Linked DNA regions of Canis lupus familiaris. The protein of the gene in region 2 binds, or shares a complex with, the protein of the main gene of each other region. Links are inferred from orthologs where the notes say so. Each region holds a gene or a part of one and is shown on either strand. Other genes may lie near its edges. The genes, in order: UBE2J1 and OS9.

The links.
Region 1: OS9 (region 2) and UBE2J1 share a complex: the UniProt entries of both Homo sapiens proteins name them as parts of the HRD1 complex. The link is inferred for Canis lupus familiaris from reciprocal best matches to the Homo sapiens genes OS9 and UBE2J1.

What each region holds. Positions count from the first base shown.
Region 1 is NC_049233.1:48,785,275-48,789,507, forward strand, and holds the start of UBE2J1 (ubiquitin-conjugating enzyme E2 J1), read right to left. Parts: upstream 2,801-4,233; 5' UTR 2,618-2,800; coding exon 2,587-2,617; intron 1-2,586. UniProt on the Homo sapiens protein: Catalyzes the covalent attachment of ubiquitin to other proteins. Functions in the selective degradation of misfolded membrane proteins from the endoplasmic reticulum (ERAD) and is essential for cells to recover from ER stress.
Region 2 is NC_049231.1:2,132,357-2,140,335, reverse strand, and holds part of OS9 (protein OS-9), read right to left. Parts: intron 3,803-7,979; coding exon 3,592-3,802; intron 3,295-3,591; coding exon 3,190-3,294; intron 2,985-3,189; coding exon 2,884-2,984; intron 2,709-2,883; coding exon 2,657-2,708; intron 2,301-2,656; exon of another isoform or gene 2,018-2,300; intron 1,958-2,017; coding exon 1,869-1,957; intron 1,653-1,868; coding exon 1,374-1,652; intron 1,094-1,373; coding exon 904-1,093; intron 589-903; exon of another isoform or gene 1-588. UniProt on the Homo sapiens protein: Lectin component of the HRD1 complex, which functions in endoplasmic reticulum (ER) quality control and ER-associated degradation (ERAD).

The DNA.
Region 1 (4,233 bases), on a different chromosome or scaffold from region 2:
CACATGGGTCTCCCTACTTTGTACTGTGAGACCCTACTGCCTTCTTGGCCAGAGCAGACCCAAAAAGGGACCAGGGAGCTTGATGCAGTGCAACTATTGAGAGGCTAAGTCAGAGGCCTATGAGGTGGCTCTCTACAGAGCTCTCTGCCCATCGCCACAAGTCCATTCCAGAAAAGTCACAAAAAATTAAGTTTTCCCACTTACAAAATGAACAAATTACCATCCACATGCTAGCACACTGGCCCTTAACCAGTTATGGGTATTCTCTTAATTGAACCATCCATACCTCTAAGACAATTCCACATTAGAGAGAAAGGGTTATATCTCTTACATTGTGCAGTGCTTTTAACCACTTTTTTCCACATATGCATTGCTCCAAAAATACCACAGCACTGAAAATAAAACAAAGGAAGGAAGCATTTTCATCGTGCCTCCTAGCATTTCTAGTGCATCCCATATGTCATCTAATTCACCTTCACTATGAACTCCAAATGATCCATACAACAAAGCAAACAAACAAAAAAGATTTTTAGAAATCATCTCGAATAGAACAGCAACACCATCTTTGAGGAAATGATACCAAAAAAGAGGAAGCAATTTACAAACATGGCATGTCGGCCAAAGCTCAGCCAGCTGGTAGATCCTATACTTTGGAAATGCACAAAATTCTGGAGAATTTTAAAAGTTTCTCATAACCTCAGGTCTGATGACCTATCGAAAGTGAGCTATGTGCTCTTTTTTTTTTTAATTTTTTTTCAATTTTTATTTATTTATGATAGTCACAGAGAGAGAGAGAGAGAGGGAGAGACACAGGCCGAGGGAGAAGCAGGCTCCATGCACCAGGACCCCGACGTGGGACTCGATCCGGGTCTCCAGGATCGCGCCCTGGGCCAAAGGCAGGCGCCAAACCGCTGCGCCACCCAGGGATCCCGAGCTATGTGCTCTTAACGTCTTGGGACCCACCAGTTGTCCGTTCCAGAGACTGCACTATTATTTTTATTTGCATTATTCTCTGGACACTCTACTAAGTCCCTCAGCTGTCCTAAGGAACTTGGTATCATGTGACCTCTAAGGAGTCACCATGCATGTTTACCCACATAGTTTCATTTAAATCTATGAAAATCTAAACAATTTAAGCATCCTACCATCTAATCTAAAAGTGGAGGTTTTCTTTCCCTCTTTCTTCTTTTACTTTCCTTTTTTCCCCCTGGGGGTTCTTAAGAGAAATTATATGAATGCATTTCTTGGAAAGCCCAAAGCCTTCACCAGATTTTTAAAGCAGTCCATGCACCCTCAAATATTATGATCCATTCTACACACTTGGTCAGCTAAGACTATTTCTCAGCCCGACAGCACTCAAGTTAACAACACTCTGTTCGATCAATATCCCCAGACTTTTCTGGAGTTCCTACACATTAAGTATTTCTTAAAGATCAAAGATTCGCAGTGTCAGCTCTATTCCATCGGGATGCTAATCTTGCTGATTCCTACGGAAAAGACGCTTCCTTGGAAGGAAGACATAAAGCAGCAGCAATATGTGCTCAAACCATCACTAATATTCTAGGATTACCATTTAGAGCTGAACTGCGGAGTTTCTCCCTCCTGACAAACTTATCAAGGTGCAGATAAAATGAATACCACTTACAAAACCTAGTGGTTTATTTCCAGCCTGCCTTAATAGGAGAGAGTGGCTTGACTTTTCTTGCATCTTAAAATGCACCAGAGAAGAACTTGAGGCTGGGATTGTTCGGGCTGCTCTGTGAATGAAGCTGGGGCACTAACCACAGGAAGTCTCCATGACGGAATATCGAGCTCTATCATCGTGTTAGTCGTCACGGCAAAAATCATGCTTTAGTGCCGCCTTCCGCCCAGGGCGCGATCCTGGAGACCCGGGGTCGAGTCCCAGGTCGGGCTCCCTGCGTGGAGCCTGCTTCTCCCTCTGCCTGTGTCTCTGCCTCTCGCGCGCGCTCTGTGTCTCTCGTGAATAAATAAATTAAAAAAAAAAATCATGGTTAGCCCCAGAGTACACGGCTCATCTAACTAGTTTTCTGAGCTCGCTGGTTCGTTGGTTTCCAACAGAGCATTCCTTTAGGTCTGCAATTCCAGTCGCCCCAAATGCTGCAAATGGGAAATTCAAACAAACCGGTCCTCACACGCCAAGTGAGTCAAACAGCTAATAAAAGTCCGGTGGCGGCGACGAAGGGACAGCGACGCTCCGCGTTCCGGGACCGCAGGGGCTGGCTGCCGCCCACGGACATCCCCGTGACACCTGCTCTTGGCGAGGAGCCTAGGGCCCAGCACCGGGCGCCCACGGTGACGGGAGGGAGAGTCCGGGCGCCGCGGGGGAGCGGCCGGTGCCCGGGGTCGGCGGCGGGCGCCCGCCCCGCGGCCTGCACCAGCCCGGCAGGCGGCGGTCTCGCGTAGAGCGCGAAGCCCCGCAGCCGAGCGGCGAGCGCCGGCGGACGCGAGGGAACCGCAGCGCCGGGCCCGGGAGCCGGGAGCCGGGGGTCGCGCCGGCCCTGCCCTGCCCTGCCCGGCCCGGCCCGGCCCGGCCCGCCCAGGGGCGCCGCCCGCCGCCCCGCTCACCCGGACTCTTCAGGTTGTAGCGGGTCTCCATGGCCGATCGCCGTCCGGGCTCCGGCCTCCCCGCCCGCCGCCTCCACCTCTCCGCGCCGCGGCCGCCCGGGTGTCAGCGCGGCTCGGGCCGATTGGGCCGGGCCGAGGGAGCCTCCGCAGACGCCGCCCAGCCCCGGCCCGGACTGCGGGCGGGGCACGGGCTTCGCGATGGCGCCGCCTCCTCCGCGGCTCCCCCGCCTCCCTGAGGGCCGGGCGGGCGCCGGCGCCGGCCGGGGCGTCGCTGAGCGGGGCGCCCGGGCTGCGGGTCAGCCTCGTCGTGGGCCGCCGGCCCCACCCCGCCGCGGCCGCCGGCGCTGCGTCACCCGCCCTCGCCCGGGTTTGTGAAGTTGCCCTGACGTGGCGGCCGCTTCGTGGCGGTCGGTCGCCGCCGAGGTCGCTCCGGGCTCTGCAAAAGCGGGCGGCGCCCGGGTCCGCCTCAGGCTGCGGCCGCGCGGAGGCGCCTTTCGGCGGGCGGGGAGGGGCGCGCGCGGCCCCGGAGCCCATCCCACAGCGGTCGCGACGGCCAGTGCGGCGCCAAGACCCAGTGCTGAGCCCGTGGACCCTGGGAAGCGAACGCGGGGCGGCGGCAGCGGCGGGGGCGGAGGGCGGGGGTTGGGGTGACCGGGTGACGGGCGCTGAGGGGGCCTTGGCGGGATGAGCACCGGGTGACATGCGAGATGTTGGCAAATCGAACTCCAATTTAAAAAAAATAATAATAAATTAATTTTAAAAAATCTTTAATCAGGAAAAGTAAATAAAATCTTTAAAAATAAAAGGAAATTGAGTAGGGTTTTTATTTATTTTTATTGTTTTAAAAGATTTTATTTATTTATTCATGACAGACACAGGAAGAGAGACGCAGGCAGAGGGAGAAGCAGGCTCCACGCAGGGAGCCCCACGTGGGACTCGATCGCGGAACTCAAGGATCAGGCCCTGGGCTGAAGGCGGCGCTAAACCACTGGGCCACCCGGGCTGCCCCCAGTAGGATTTTTATAGCAATTTAGGTTTGTGGGTTTCTTTTTGTTTTTTTGTTTTGTTTTGTTTTGTTTTTTGTTTTAGTAATGTGATTAGGTGCAAGGTACTTTTAAGCCTGGGGAGGGGAGTGAAAGAAATTATAACTTGTCAAATAAAACAGCGAGTCACATTGAATTTGGGGGGAACGTGTACAAATACATAAGGGTAAACCTCAAAGGACACAGTATAGGCTTCATTGTGGAAAGCGGGATTCAGAGAAAGGGTTACATACGGGTTCTCGAAGGCTAAGGAAGGGGTGAGAATTGAGGCAGACACGGAGGGATTGGCACGGTGGGGAGGATGAAGAGGATGAAGAGGGAAGGGAGGAATTCTAGGTGAGGTGAAGCAGGGTTAATCTGGCTGGACAAGTTCTATTTTGTTACATAGAGAATTGTACCAGCAACCCTTGGTAAAGACTGAAATGGAGAGGGAAGGGATGAAATGGAGGATATCTAAAATAAGAATTAGGTGGTATCTTTGAAGCCATTCCATGATGTTGTTTTCTGAGCCGCAAATGGATAATCAGAGTGGCTGAGATATGCAAACAAAACCAAACCCCGATACCCTGCTTCATTCATTTATGCATTCTTTGTGTTGAATCTT
Region 2 (7,979 bases):
TACAGGGAGACACAAAGCAGAGCCGTGATTCCAGGTTAGGGGCTGCGGTGGTAACTTCTCCTTAAGCCATCAACTGGTCCTGGCAGTTTTCCATCACACGCATGGATGAACCGGGGCTCAGAGTAAGTGCCCCCTTCCTCCGTCCCCCTTCAGCCTATAAAGCTCCCTCCACTAACCGTAGCCTCCCTTTCCCCTCCTGGACCAATCATCCTGCCTGTCCCCTACAGGAAAAACCACTGTGTTTTCTGAAGCAAAAATCAGGTCACCTGGGCCAACGGAGGAGTTTTGTTTTAGGAAAGCAGGTTGGAAAACTGTGGTTTTGTTCCACATGCTGGTACTCGAAAGACATTCTAATGTTTATAGAGATGGTGGGATGGAAGATGTGAAAACAGAACATTCCATTTGGAATGTCTAATCTCATATGACCCCGTGGCATGGAGCTCAGGGGTGCAGGAGGAAGCAATAACTTCACGTCTGTCCTGCCAGGCAACTGGCTTCTGACCAGCCAGGCTTGCCCGTTCACACCCTACCAGTGGGGGCCTTTCCCAGCGCACGGGGCTCACTGTTGATACGCTGCGTCCTTCACAGGTGTGTGGTCTTCTGCACACAGGGCTGGCTCCCAGTCGTTCCATTAGTTTCTACCGACCACCCACCATGCGCCGTGGAAGTGCTAGGCGCTGGGTACACGGGAGCCAGCCAGAAAACCGGACAGACATGCTCTAAAAGCCGCTTCCTGAAGGGATGACTGAGTAGGAGGTAACCAGGCAAAGGGATGGAGGCAGTGGGAAGAAGGCAGGAGAGCTGCGTTCCAGGAGGATGGAGGGGAGTGAACACCCTCGGAAGAGCAAAACGGGATGCCCACCAGGGTACACCAGCTGAGGGACCCTGTCCAACAGCTCTTACCTGCTGGTGGGGGGCTGGGGGGAGGCTTTTTGGGGGCAACCCTCCTTTTCCTGTGCTTCTTCACCAGCTCTGGACTCTGTTTCTCCTCCAGCCTTTTGATGAGCTTGTTGAGAGTGGAGGTCAGGGCCAGCATTGCCCGATCACGCTCAGATTCCTTCTTCAACCCGTCTGGGTCCAGCTCCTTCTCTGTCTGGAATGCCCAAGGCAGGAGAGTGGAGTCAGGGGGCGGGGGAGTGCAGCTCAGTGGTCCGTGCTCTAACAGGAGAGCAACGGCTAAGTCTTGGCCCTCCCTCTGGTCTCCCCTTCCCTACCGTCCCCTCCTTCCATTAAGGAAACAAGTGGCAGCTGAGCACACTGTTCCCTGCCCTGTGCCAGCCGCAGGCCGCCCTTCATTCCTTTGCCCCCCCAGCCTGCCCTAGTCCATAGGAGCAGCCGGCTGCCAAAGCGAGCAGGGTAAGGGCTGTGCTCACTTCCTGGATGATGGTCTCCAGCTCCCGCTCCATGCCGGCCTTCACCTCCGAGCGGAGCCGGTCTCGGTCTGACGGAAGCAGTATCCCTTCCAGTTCCTTCTCAAACTCTCCCAGTAACTGCTGCTCATCCTCATCTTCATCTTCATCCTCCTCCTCCTCTTCCTCCTCTTCCACCTCGTTCTGATGATCCATGTCACTCTTGTCCTTTTCCTCTGCTTCCCTTTGAGGGACTTCTGCTGCCTCACCTACAGGCTGCTCTTGGCCTCCGTTGGGCTTGCCCTAGGTGGACGGGGATCGGGAGAAAGAGACGGACAGTTGGGGTTTCAGTAGAGACGTGTGGGCCACAGATAGACAGTGGCTGGAGTGTGGCAGTGGGGGGACTCTGGAGGAGGAAAGAAAGGGAGTCAGCTCTCCTGGGCTCACTCCAGGGGCCGTTCTCTAAGCGCTCCTAGCAGGGAGGCGGGTTCTCCCCCTCTGTTGAGCAGGGGCCTGTACCTTTTTGGTTCCACCTTTCAGCTCCTCTATCAATCGAATCAAGTCTGCAGGACTCCGGATGACTTTGACCTGTACGTTGTTCTGAAAATCTGAGATGAAAGAGCAGGGATGAAGCAGTTCTGTCCTAAATTCTATTTTGATTTCCTAAGGAGAGGAGATGAGGAGACCAGGGAAGGACATGGTCCCTGCGTCCGGGAGCCACCTGTCTGGTCACTGAGATAGGGGCCGACGCAGGCCCCTGGAGGGTGCTGTCCTAAGGTGGACCCACAGATGAGACAGGGGATGCTAACACGCTGCTCGCACCCGCGCTGCTGGGCCCTGCTGGCAATTACTCCAGTTCTGAGGACTACGGAAGAGATTCTGGGGCCACAGCCTTCTCTTCCCTGGATACTGTTCTCTCCTTTCTGCCAAATAGAAACCATTTCTTGTCTACTCTGGTCTACTCTGTTCGGGGCATTCTGCTGTGAACTACAGACTCGTTCTCACTGAACCTCACAACTACCCTGTAAGGTAGGGGGATTACCCACTGCTGGGGGTGAGGAAATTGAGGTTAAGTGCAATCACCCAGGATTACAAAGTCAGCAAGTAGCAGAACCACCGAGTTCCGTTATCTCCCTAGAATAGCATTGCTGTCTGTAAATAGTATTGCCTCCAATTCAATAAAGATGAATTCACTGCTGGCCTGGCCGCCCAACCTCCCCCACCAGTGTTTAGTTCCACCCCACCCCACCCCCACCAGCCCCAAAATACATTCAAGCGGTAAAGGAGAGGTGGAGGGTTCTGCTCACCATGGGGAGGGGCCGGAGCTGGATCTGCGGCCTCAAGGTTTGGTTCCTGCTCCTGATGAGAAAAGGGCGGAGTCAAGTCCACAGGCTCGTTCACACCTACCACATTCTTAAGGCAGTGGTTCTGGGTAGATCCTTGCCTCCCTAGATAGGTGTAGGTCAACTCATGATGACCTCAGCTCGCCCAGGGTCAGCCTCATCAGAGAAATAGCTGGGAAGCCAGCTCTCACCTCAGCCGGCATCTCCGTTGCCCCAGGGGTCTGCTCCTGTGGCTCAGGAAGCATCTTCCAGAAATCGGACTCCTTACTGTCATCCTTGGTTGGATGTGCACCTGGGATACAGAGAACAGGGAGGACTCTGAAAGGTGGGAGAAACAGAAGGGAGCAAGTAGAATGGGGTACATTCCCCTTCACTATTACTAAGGAATTAAGGCCCGTAGGACTTCCTCCCCACCCCCAACGGTCAGTGCAGGTCAGTAGGACTGGGGAAGGGAAGAAGTGGAGAAGTTTCACGGAACAGATGCAGGAAGATCCTACCTCCTCTCTTTGAGGGCACCGCTCTGGGTTGGGCCTCACCCCATGTTTGCGGCTCCAGGTCTTGCAGCTCCTCTAGGGCTTTATCTCCATACTGCTTTGAGTCTACTGAAAAACAGTGTGTGGGCAGGACAAGGCCACATGCCTACCTTATCTTCCGCTTGTCTCTCCTGGTGTCTTTTCTTCCTCTCCTTTCTCTTTTTTAAGATTTTATATCTTTATTCATGAGAAACAGAGAGAGAGAGAGAGGCAGAGACATAGGCAGAGGGAGAAGCAGCCTCCCTGCGGAGAGCCTGATGCAGGACTCAATCCCAGGACCCCAGGGATCATGACCCGAGCCAAAGGCAAACACTCAACCACTGAGCCATCCAGGGGCCCCCTCTCCTTGTTCTTCTAATTACTCACCAGCTTGCCTCTGAATGTAGGCCATGTACTCCTCAGGCTGCAGGGCAGGGTGACAGAGGATGGCCTGAGGAGCAGCGCTGGGTGGGGGCCTTAGGAGAGGGTGGGGGCAGAGCCGAGGAGTCCGGACGGTCAACACATAAGAGCAGGATAAAGGCTCATCCACACGATCAATGTAGTCCCCGGAAATACCAGCACCCTCGTCACAGAGGAACTGCCAGGACAGACGGGTGAACAAATTATTACCACTAGGGATTAGCTTTCGTTCTTCGAGCAGCTGCCTTTTGTTCAGCACTTACTGTGTATCTGGTTCTGTGCAGACACTGTGTATAGGACACTTTATGTACTTTAGCTCAGTTAATGATCACAAAAACCTAGTGAGGGAGGGATTAATATCTCAATTTTGTGGCTCAAAAAACTTAGGTTTGATGCAGATAAGGGACTTGGTCAGGTTGACCACTGGTAAGTGGTAAAAACAGGGAACTGAATTCAGGCAGCTTCCCTGTAGAGCCAATTTTTGTTTCACATTCTTGCTTTATATAAATACAGTGTATACATACTTGTATGTATTTGAGATACACACAGAAACAGTTGACCCTTGAACATTGCAGGGGGTTAGGGACGCTGACCTCCCCCTCCTCCCCACCTGCCCAAGTCAAAAATCTGCACATAACTTCTGACTCCCCAACTTAACTACTAATAGCAAAAGCCACAAGAGATCACTTTTTACTGTGAAAAGCAATTTATGGAGACAAACTGCTCATGCAGAGATGATTGTCGTGGAGTTTTAAGCAGATCCCTGCAACACTTGAGCTCATCCCAATAGCAACAGGAGGTGGCTACAAAAGCACTACAGTAGTACAGTATGTTCTACAGTTTTATGCTGTTGTTATATAATTCTGCACCCTTTTGTTTACATTTCTCTCTACTGTGAATGGCACCATATATGGTCTATAAGTCTGTGCATACATTTTGATAAATTTTAACTTTTTATAATAGACTTGTGTATATTTATGGTAGCAAATGATAAAACAGCCTACTACCTACCTATATTTCATGCATTCATGATAGATCTAACTTAATTTTCTCAGCATTTCTAGGCTATGTGGTTCATCTGTGAGTTTTTTTCAAACTATCATAAATCTCCTAAAAATTTTCCAATATATTTACTGAAAAAAATCAACTTATAAGTGGGCCCACACAGATCAAACCTGTTGATCAAGGGTCAATTGTACTTCTATGTATTTGAAACATATATTCTTTTTGTGTGTGTACACATGTATGTGTATGCATAGGATTAAAATTTTTCCCTGCAAAAAGACAATATTAAAAAAGAAAAAAAGACCTCAAACACTAGAAAAAGAAAAGCAAACTAAACCCAAAGCAAGCAGAGTGAAGGAAGTAACACAGATTAGAACAAAAATAAGTGAACTAGAGAACAAAAAAGCAATAGAGAAAAATCAATGAAACTAAAAGTTGTTTTGAAAAGATCAGTAAGTGAAAAAAAAAAAAAAAGAAAAGATCAGTAAGTGACAAAACTTCAGCTAAACTTACCAAGAAAATAAAAAGAAAAGACTCAAATTAGTATCAGAAATGAAAGAGGGAACATTACTATCAACCTTGCAGAAATAAAGGATTGTAAAGAAAGACTATCAATACCTACACGCCAACAAATCAGATTAACTTAGATGAAATGGACAAATTTCTAGAAAGACACAGCTACCAAAACTGACTCAAAAAGAAGTAAACAATATGAATAGACCCATAACCAGTATGGAGATTGAATTAGTAATCCAGAAACTAACCACATAGGAAAGCCTGGCCAGATGGGTCTACTGGTGAATTCTACCAAATATTTAAAAAACAATAAAGGGCAGCCCTGGTGGCTCAGAGGTTTAGCGCCACCTTTGGCCCAGGGTGTGATCCTGGAGACCAGGGATCAAGTCCCGCATCGGGCTCCCTGCATGGGGCCTGCTTCTCCCTTTGCCTGTGTCTCTGCCTCTCTCTCTCTGTGTGTCTCTCATGAATAAATAAATAAAATCTTAAAACAAACAAACAAACAAACAAAAACAATAAAGATCAATCTCTCTCAAACTCTTCCAGAAAAAAAGAAGAGACAATATTCCCCAACTCATACTACAAAGCCAGTATTATCACCCTGATACCAAATCTAGACAAATATATAATAAGAAAAGGAAACTATAAGCCAGTATCTCTTATGAATAAAGACCCCAAATCCTCAACAAAATGCTAAACAAATTTAGCAACATATAAAAAGTATTACACACCAGACCAAGTGGATTTATCCCAGGAGTGCAAACTTGGGCTAACATAAAAAAATCAATTAATGTAAATGATTAACAGAATAAAGGATAAAAACCACATGATCATCTCAATGGATGCAGAAAAAGCAATTGACAAAATGTGACATATCTTCATGATGAAAGCATGCGACAAATTTGAATGAAAAGAGAATTTCATCAATATGATAAGAAGTGTTTATTAAAAATCCACAGCTAACATTATACTTAATGGTGGAAAAACTGAATAGTTTCCTCCTAAGATCTTGAATAAGACAAGGATGGGGCACCTGGGTGGCTCAGTTGAGTGTGATTTCAGTTTAGGGCATGATCTTGAAGTCATGAGATTAAGCCCCACATCAGCTCCACACTGGGCATGGAGCCTGCTTGAGATTCTTTCTCCCTCTCCCTCTGCCCCTTCCTCCCAGCCCCAACTCTAGTTCTTTCTCATGCTTGCACTCTTTCTCTTTCTCAAAAAAGAGAAAAAGGAATAAGAGAGGTATGTCTGCTTCTGCCACTTCCATTCAACATTGGGTTGGAGGTTTTGACCAGGACAAAAAGGGGGGGGGGGGGGGGGGAAGAAAAAGCATCTATATTGGAAAGAAAAAAAGTAAAACTATTCCATTCACAGATGATTTTATATACAGAAAATCCTAGGAGCACCTGGGTGGCTCAATTGGTTAAATGTTTGACTTTTGGTCTTAGCTCAGGTCTTGGCCTTGGGGTTGGGAGTTGAAGCTGCTCATTGGGCTGCATGTTGGGTATAGCACCTACTAAAAAAAAGAAAGGGAAAGAAAGGAAGGAAGAAAGAAAGAAAGAAAATCCTAAAGAATCTATTAAGCTATAGAACTAATATCCAAGTTCAATAAGGCTGCAGGATATAGGCATCAATTGTATTTCTATACATTCAAAGAACAATTCAAAAATAAAATAATAAAATAGTAAAAAGAAAATAATTCCATTTATAATAGCATCAAAAAATAAAATAATTAGGAGTGCCTGCATGGCTCACTTGGTTGAGAGACTGCCTTCAGCTCAGGTTGTGGTCCTGGGATCCTGGGATAGAGCCCTCAGCAGGGAGCCTGCTTCTCCCTTTGCCTCTGCACCTCCCCCTTGCCCATGCTCTCTCTCTAATAAATAAATAAAATCTTAAAAAAAAGAGAAAATAATTAGGAATAAATGTAGCAAAATGCTTGAAAACTACAAAACATTTCTTAAAGAAGTCAAAGACTTAAATACATGTAAAGATATCCAACCTCAGAGATTAAAAGACTTAATATAGCAATCCTCACCAAATTCCAGCTGGCTTTGTTTTGGAAATTAACTGATCCTAAAATTCATGAAAATTCAAGGGACTCTAAATAGTCAAAATAATCTGGAAAAAAAAAAAAGTTGGAAAACCCACACTGATTTTAAAACTTGCTACAAAAGTACAATAATCATGACAGTGTAGTACTGACTTAGAGACAGATACATAGACCAATGAGATAGAATTTACAGTCTAGAAATTAACCTTTACTTTTATTCTCATTTGATTTTTTGAAAGGTTATCAAGATAATTCAATGGGAATCATCTTTTCAACAAATAATGGTGAGTCAACTGGATATCTATGTGCAAAAAAATGAAATTGGACCCCTACCTCATACTATATACAAAAATTAACTCAAAATGGATCAAAGACCTAAATGTAAAACTATAATATTTTTAAGAGAAAATATAGGTATAAGTGTTCATGGATTTAGATGACCTAATGGTTTATTTGATATGACATAAAAGGCACAAGCAACAAAAAATAGGTAAATTGGAATTCATCAAAATTAAAAGTTTTTGTGCTGCAAAGGACACCATCAAGAATGTGAAATGACAATCCAAAGAACAGGAGAAAATATTTGCAAATCATGTATCTCATAAAACTTCTATCCAGAATATATAAAGAAATCTTACAACTCAATAATAAAAAGACAAATAATGCTGGGCAGCCCAGGTGTCTCAGCAGTTTAGCGCCGCCTTCAGCCCAGGGCCTGATCCTGGAGACCAGGATGGAGTCCCACGTCAGGCTCCCTGCATGGAGCCTGCTTCTCTCTCTGCCT